Linked DNA regions of Callithrix jacchus. The protein of the gene in region 1 purifies or fractionates together with the protein of each later gene. This does not show direct contact. Links are inferred from orthologs where the notes say so. Each region holds a gene or a part of one and is shown on either strand. Other genes may lie near its edges. The genes, in order: SGK2 and FKBP5.

What was found.
Region 2: the proteins of SGK2 (region 1) and FKBP5 purify together in Homo sapiens (affinity purification with mass spectrometry; 3 studies listed by BioGRID and IntAct, with this or other methods). This does not show direct contact. The link is inferred for Callithrix jacchus from reciprocal best matches to the Homo sapiens genes SGK2 and FKBP5.

The regions. Positions count from the first base shown.
Region 1 is NC_133506.1:38,947,891-38,952,135, forward strand, and holds the start of SGK2 (serine/threonine-protein kinase Sgk2), read left to right. Parts: upstream 1-1,277; 5' UTR 1,278-1,340; intron 1,341-2,743; 5' UTR 2,744-2,766; coding exon 2,767-2,802; intron 2,803-3,371; coding exon 3,372-3,421; intron 3,422-3,951; coding exon 3,952-4,009; intron 4,010-4,201; coding exon 4,202-4,245. UniProt on the Homo sapiens protein: Serine/threonine-protein kinase which is involved in the regulation of a wide variety of ion channels, membrane transporters, cell growth, survival and proliferation.
Region 2 is NC_133505.1:43,920,383-43,924,196, reverse strand, and holds part of FKBP5 (peptidyl-prolyl cis-trans isomerase FKBP5), read left to right. Parts: intron 1-2,816; coding exon 2,817-2,959; coding exon of another isoform or gene 2,960-2,963; intron 2,964-3,814. UniProt on the Homo sapiens protein: Immunophilin protein with PPIase and co-chaperone activities. Component of unligated steroid receptors heterocomplexes through interaction with heat-shock protein 90 (HSP90).

The DNA.
Region 1 (4,245 bases):
TGGAAGGCCTTGATATCGTGCACTCGGGTTTTCTCCAGTCAACACTTTCAGATCCTCTGCATTTCGGAGCCCACAGAGAACTCCTGAGGCCACTGGCCCCAGTTCCCTCCCTGACCAACTTTCTAGGCTCTAGTGCCATATGTCCCTCCCCTGTAGTATACTGTAGCCACACAGAAAGTTTGAGAAGGGCAGGGCCTATGGGCCCATCGACGCCTTCATTCCCCAGAACATCTGCCCACCCCTTGAGCTCCTAGGGAGAGGAAGGGACCCTGTGAGTACCTAATGACCGCCCCAGGCAGTGAGGCCTCCGTGAGCCATGGTACTCTCTGCAACGGTTTCTCACACAGTAGGAGAGCCACACAGGCCCACTGGGCCTGCCCTGAGGACTGGGCTGGAGCCCTTGAGGAGCCTGCAGGGAAAAGCCCAAAAGACTAGGTGCTCAGCAAAGACCAAGACAGGCCAGACTGAGCCAGACACCCAGGCTCCAGGTTCCTTCCTCTGAAACACATGCAGGTTTTTGGTAGGCAGAGGGCTCTCAGCTGCCATGGCTGACGTCTGTGGAAGCACCTTTTCAGTTCCAGATGGTCTACACAGGGATCATATACACAGGCCCCCTACATGTGTGTGTGCACGCACACACACAGAGCAAATTTGTTGATATACACCAATATGAACACAAACACACAATGACTTACCTATAAACACAAATTAATAGACGCCCATACTGGTCTGAACACACACCTTCAGACATCCACATACAGACTCACACTCCACTGACATGTACTACACAGAGACACACTGAAACACATCCATATGCACACCAAACACATGATACACACAGTCACAGATGCACAGACACAGGCTGACATAAATGTACAAATATGGTCACACTGACACATACATGAGGTCATCTATGCAGACTCATACAGACACAAATGCCTGAAACACAGAGCCACAGACAGACACACACAAAAGCATTCTATGCACAAAACACTTGCACAGCACACACCCTGACCCACACAGTCTAACAAGCCCCAGGGGTCTCCAGGGCTCTCCTGGGTCTATTACCCACTCCTACCCCTCTCCCCTCCAGGGTGAGATGGTGTCCCCAGGGAAGAGAAGTCTCCAGTCCCATCTTAAGCTCTGCTGGATCCCACATGACATCAACCAGCCCCCTCGCTGCTGCTGCCGGGAGCTGTGAGCTCTGTGCTGGGGCGCGGCCGGCACCGGGCGCAGACACTTAGGCCCTTGTTGGGAGAACAGAGAGAGGCTCTCTTGTCCACTGCCTGTCTTCAGTTCCAGCTGCTGGTTCTCCTAAAGGCCTCTCCTCAGATTTACAGGTATGTGGGACCTGGGAGGCCAGGGCCTGTTAGAAGGGCCGTCAGAGTCAGCCTAGGAGAGGGAGTGGCAGTGTGGTGGGCCGTGTGGCATTGGCGAGGGGCAGCCTGCGCTTCCTTAGCCAGCAGTTCTGCAGCTTGCTCCAAGGGCTTGCTAGGGCTGGGCCTCTCAGAGCACCTGGGCTGGGGGAGCCTCTCAATTCAATTCCCCTTCACTTTCTCTGTTCCCACGAAGGCCATGAGGTTCGTGCCTCCAGGATCCCTCTTGTAAAGATGGGAAGTCTCTACTCAGAGAGGCTGGGCTGCAGCCCAGGCCCCATAGTGGGCTAGGACTAAGGTCTTGGGATGCACAGTGCTGGGAGATCTCTCAGGTGAGATCTCTGCTCTCAGTCTTTGCCAAGCAAGGATGAGGTTGTGGGGCCCCAAGCAATCTGTGCCAGGGCCTAGGCACCCTGGCCTCTTCTCCACTGCAGGGTGGAAGCAAGGAAGACACTACTCCTGGCTGCATAGATCAGCTGGTCACACCATCTGTTGTTTGCTCCAGGATAGATGCTAGCCAGTCTTGAGTCTCTCTGTAGCCCCAGCCCAAGGCTTCCAGGGCAGCTGCCATTCCTGAGGCATTGGGCAGAATTCCTTCTGGCAAGGAGGTAATAGCACAGAGCCCAGCTGGGAGTGCCCACAGTAATTCAGCATTGCCATTGTTCCTCTATGGGAGTCCGGAGAGCCCAGCCTGTGCTTCACAAACTGTGTAGCCTTAGGAAGGTCCTGTTTTAGGCCATAGGCCTTTCACCTGTGAAATGGGAGAAGGGTTCAGACTTCATGCCCTGAAAAGGTCCTTCCAGTGCTGGTCATCTTGGACTTCTGGAGCTACCCTGACTCACAGAGGTCTTATTGCCCTGGCTGACCCCGAATCTTGAAAAGACTCAGCCTGGGAGGGGCCACAGTCTTTAGCCTGGCAGAAGGGCCGTCAGAGTCAGCCTAGGAGAGGGAGTGGCAGTGTGGTGGGCCGTGTGGCATTGGCGAGGGGCCACAGTCTTCCTTAGCCAGCAGTTCTGCAGCTTGCTCCAAGGGCTTGCTAGGGCTGGGCCTCTCAGAGCACCTGGGCTGGGGGAGCCTCTCTGAGTAGAGACTCAGAAGTCTCCAGTCCCATCTTAAGCTCTGCTGGATTCCCTGACCATCCCCCTCTACCCACTCTGAGATGTTTGTTAGGAAGTCTGGGTCCAGGGATATCATGTCTTGTTCTGTCCACACAAGGGTTGCTTACCTCTGGGGTAGGAAACCCTCAGGCTGTGGCGGGTGCACAAGTAGTGGGGGCTGGAGAGGGTGCTGGTGCCTGAAGCCCTGGATGGGTGAAGCTGACCCCCCAACACCAGCTCTCTCATGTCTGTGCCTCCCTGTGCCCCCAGAGCAGCCTGATCATTGCTACAGAATGAACTCTAGCCCAGCTGGGACCCCCAGTCCACAGGTAAGTAGTTCTTGGTCCCCCACCCATCACTGGGGGCCCACTTCCTCCCGAGGCTAAGGAAATCCATGGAGACAGATAGCCCCATGGGCTGTCCCAGAGAATGTCAGGGCTGACAGGGTCACTTCGAGCACTTAGAAATGAGCCAGAGGAGAGATCTGAGCAAGGGCTTCGAGATAGAGTGGAAAAATTGTGGGATTTGTCATGAAGACACCTGGGTTCTATCCCAACTTGCTTGCCTGCGAGACCTTGGGTAACACCTCTCTGGGCTCAGTTTCCTCACCTACTCAATTCGCACAACAGCCAGCTGCCTCCCAAGGCTGTTTTGAGAAGTGAGTAAGACGGTGAATATGTGGATTAGTGGGCAGGTAGATAGGTAGAAAGAAGGAGGGAGGGAGGGAAGGAGGAATGAAGGGAAGGAAGGGAGGGAGGAGGGAAGGAAGGAGAAAAGAAGGAAAAAAGAAGGCAGGCAGGCCTAGAAGAGTTGGTAGAGGTGGCATCAGGGCCTGGGCCAGGAGAAAGGAAGGTGGCCAAGGACTAGGCCTGCTGATTGCAATCACTTCTTTCTGTAGCCCTCCAGGGCCAATGGGAACATCAACCTGGGGCCTTCGGCCAACCCAAAGTGAGTTCTGGTCCCTCAAACACCTTTCCTACTTGATTCCCCTCATACCTGGCTCCCCTTGCTTTGGGAATACAATCCAAATTCTCTGGTCTAGCATTCAAGCCTCTCTGCCGTCTGGGCCCAGGACCTCCCCCCAGCCTTATCTCCCACGAATCCCCAGCCTCTGCCCATGCTGAACCCTCTTCCTGCAATGTCCCCCAAATGTCTGCAGTGTTAGTAACTCCCCACACTGCAGGCCCTTCTTGGGGGCTTTGGCTCCAGATCCCCACCTCCTATGCAGGCCTTCTGTGCATTATGTCTGGTTTTATCTTCACCCTGCCTGTTTAACTTGCATTTGAGTTCCCCTGGGGCAAGAGTGAGTCTTACCAGCCCCCTCTTGGCTGGGAGAACATGAGGTTCTTGAGGGATGAGGAGGCATGTCTTCCGAAAGGCTTTCCCCACTCTAAAGTTCAAAAGAAGCCCAGGTTTGCTCTCAGGCACCAGGTTCCCAGAGCTTGCAAACGCTGTCCATGTTTTTTCCTTTCCCCCAGTGCCCGGCCCACGGACTTCGACTTCCTCAAAGTCATTGGCAAAGGGAACTACGGGAAAGTGAGTGACTTGGTGAGGGTGGGAAGCCTGGGTCTTCCCTTCGGCAGCCTCTTTCAGCCCCTGCTGCCACGTGGATGTGCAAAGAGAGAGCTCTCACACCTGCAGACAAAAGCAGGGGCAGGCAGGAGGCCCTGTACTGTTGTCGGAAATCCAAAGTCACCCATAGGGCCTCAGATTCGTGTTTCCGTTCAGGTCCTACTGGCCAAGCGCAAGTCCGATGGAACGTTCTATGCGGT
Region 2 (3,814 bases), on another chromosome or scaffold:
GATATGTTTTATCTAATAATCCTTACAATGACTGTTACTATATAGCAAGTACTGTTATTATCTCCATTTTGCAGGTGAGGAGACTGAAGCACGGAGATTAAGTAACTTTTACAAGTTTACACAGATAGTAAAGGGCAGACTTGGTATTCAAATCCTGGTGGTCTGAGGTTACAATATGCTGCATTTTTGACCTCTAAAGTTTACATCTGCCTTTCTACTGATGGAGAAGGAGGATGAAGATATATATTAAATGAAAAAATAGTTAAGAACTGAATGTCTACTTTGCTGTCATTTGGGTGTTTAATTTTTTTTAAAAGTGACAGCACACAGTAGAATACCAAAGAAACATAACAGTGACTTATAAGGAGCAAATGGATGACCTTTCAGCTTTCACATTTCATCTCTCTCGTGGGTGTTTTAATAATAGTCATGTATTACTTGAATAATTTTTTTTTTTCAAGAGACAGGATCTTGCTGTCAGCTAGGCTGGAGTGCAGTGACATAATCATTGCTCACTATAGCCTCTTACTCCTGAGTTCAAGCTATTCTCCTGTCTTAACCTCCAAAATACCTGGAGCTATAAGCATGTGCCACCATGCCACACTAATTTCTAAAATTTTTGTTGAGATGGAGTCTCACAATGTTGCCCTGGCCAGTCTTAAAACTCCTGGGCTCAAGCGGATGCTCCCACTTGGCCTCCCAAAATGCTGAGATTACAGGTATGAGCCAGTGTTCCTGGCCACTTACATACATTTTTAACTGAAATAAATGTAGCTGACATTTTGAAAAGTTGTAGTAGTTAATAAAGATTAAGCTAAAGTCATGAATGACAAATGTTTTATCTATCCCTGCTTACATACTGTTATGTAGGGTTTCCCTTGTCTTAATATCTTACCACCAGCTCATTTTAAATTCACTTCTTCTGGGGTTCGTCTTTTATTTGATCCCACTTTGAATACTTAAATTTTTGTTTTTATTTTTTGAGACAGGGCAGGGTCTTCACTCTGCTGCCCAGGCTGGAGTGCAGTGGCATGATCTCAGCTCACTGCATCCTCGACCTTCTGGGCCCAAGCGATGCTCCCACCTTAGCCTCCTGAGTAGCTGGCAGGCATCACCTTGCCTGGCTAATTTTTTAAATACATTTTTTTGTAGAGATGGGGGTTTCACCATGTTGCCTGGGCTGGTCTCGAACTCCTGAGCTCAAGGGATCTTTCTGCCTCCCAAAGTGCCAGGATTACAGGCATGAGCCAATGTGCCCAGTCCCCAGATACTTAATGTTTTTGATAGAGTACCTCATTTGTAATTTAGCCTTTTTTTTTTTTTTGAGACAAGAGTCTCGCTCTGTAGCCTAGGCTGGAGTGCTGTGGCGTGATCTCTGCTCACTGCAACCCCTGCCTCCCAGGTTCAAGCAATTCTCCTGCCTCAGCCTCCCAAGTAACTGGGATTACAGGCCCGCACCACCATGCCTAGCTAATTTTTGTATTTTTAGTAGAGACAGGGTTTCACCATGTTGGCCAGGCTGGTCTTGAATTACTGGCCTCTAGTGATCTGCCTACCTTGGCCTCCCAAAGTGTTGGGATTACAGGTGTGAGCCACCACGCCCAGCCAAAATGTAGTTTAGCCTTTTGAATTGCCTAAATTTTCTACTCTTTCCCAAAGGACTTGATACTACTTACAGTAAGATAATGATGCACATCATAGGAACTATAAACATTGAGATTACAATTATATAACCTAATATAGTTCTACAATTGAGCAATAAATTTAACTTAGTTTCCTTGATGGCTCTAGGGACCAGTTTTGTGGAAGGTAGTTTTTCCATGGACCCAGGTCGGGAGCCTGGTGAGGGGGGTGGTTTTGGGATGATTCAAATGCATTACATTTATTGTGCCCTTTATTTCTATTATTATTACATTGTAATAAATGATGAAATACTTATACAACTCACTACAATGTAGAATCAGTGGGAGCTGATTCTACAAAAGAAACATTCTTCTGATTATAAATTTTGAGAAGAAATGTGTCTCATGGACCCTTTGCAATTTATACTCTGGTTACTTCTTGTTTTGTTGTTTTTTGTCTACCCAACGAAATTATAAGCTTCCTTAGGACAAACTCTGTTTTTCAGTACTATTTTTGTTCTGTCTCTGCCTAGAAAATATGCACTTATTATATATAGTTGAAATGATAAATTAAGCAACGATTGCAACATAGCCATATTTCATGGATAATGTTACCACTAGTTTTCAAAGACTTCATTTTTGAGTAGTTTAGGAATTTATACTACTTTCATTCCTTTCAGCAGGGAATCCTTTTTGAGACAGGGTCTCACTCTGTCACCCAGGCTGGAATGCAGTGGCATAATCATGACTCACTGAAGCCTCAACCTCCTGGGCTCCTGTGCTCAAGCAGTCCTCCCACCATAGCCTCTGGAGTAGCTGGGACTACAGTTGTGCACCACCATACCCAGCTGTGGTTTTTTTTGGTTATTGTTTTTTGTTTTTGTTATTTTAATGTAGAGATGAGGTCTCGCTGTGTTGCCTAGACTGGTCTCAAACTCCTAGGCTCAAGCAGTCCTCTCGCCTCAGCCTCCCAAAGTGCTGGGCCAATCACCAGGGAATCTTTTATGATAGCCTTAAAAAAAATCTTAATTTATTTATTTGTGTGTAACTTCTACTGAGTTCTGTCATCTTGTGGCCCATACGTTCTAGCTGAATACACAGTATGAAGAACTGGAACTTTGAATATTTGTTTATGAAAGTTAAATCTTTTAAAAGAAGCCTTATAGCTTTCAACTACCTTTTCCTTTCTCTTAGGCCAAGTCATCAAGGCATGGGACATTGGGGTGGCTACCATGAAGAAAGGAGAGATATGCCATTTACTGTGCAAACCAGAATATGCATATGGAGCAACTGGCAGTCTTCCTAAAATTCCCTCAAATGCAACTCTCTTTTTTGAGGCAAGTATGTGTGTGATGCTGCCTTGTCAGCATCTGCTCTATAATAGAGATGGCTTTGAAGCAACAGTGGGAAAAGGAGCTAAGCTTGCTATAGAGTATCAGATCCAACTTATTTATTTTGGAGCATGGCTTCTTGAATTGTTTCCCACACACCCAAGGTTGTGCGTGCCAGTACTTTCTTAGAAACATGCTTCTAGCACAGAAAGTTCATATCCAAATAAACAAGACACTACACTTGGAAATAAAGATTCTGGTCTGTGGTGTGAGTGTGATATACTCAAAACTGACCAGAATACAGGATGGAAATGTTGGTGATAGATGTTGAAATATGCCTATGTCAAGTTGCAGGTACTTTCATATTATAAAGATTTCTATATTATAGATTTCACCTCTCTAGAAGCTGTTGATAGTGATAAAACATCATTCATCCTCTGCTGAATGACATGTATTTGGCAAAACTTGATTTTTAAGAACCACCCTAGCTAGGTAAGATACACCTTGTATTCAGTCATAGGCCACATTCGTGAGATTTATTCTTACATTTTGAGAAGGAAACTCTAAATCCAGGGTGGGAAAGTCATGGCCTCAAATAAAATAATTTTATATCACTACCTTGTAGCTCTGGCTTTTTGCCCACAGGGTAGTTTTCCTAGTATTTCCTATCTTTGTACTGCAGTCCCTTAGGATATAGTCCAAGACATTATTATTACATGAAATTTGTTCCAAGTATAGAAAATATAGTGGGTTTTGTTTGCTACTTTTCCAATAATTAAGATACATAGATGAATATATATATATATTTTTAAACATTTATTTTATAAAATGAAAGAATTGGTTGCCCTTGCCTTCACATAT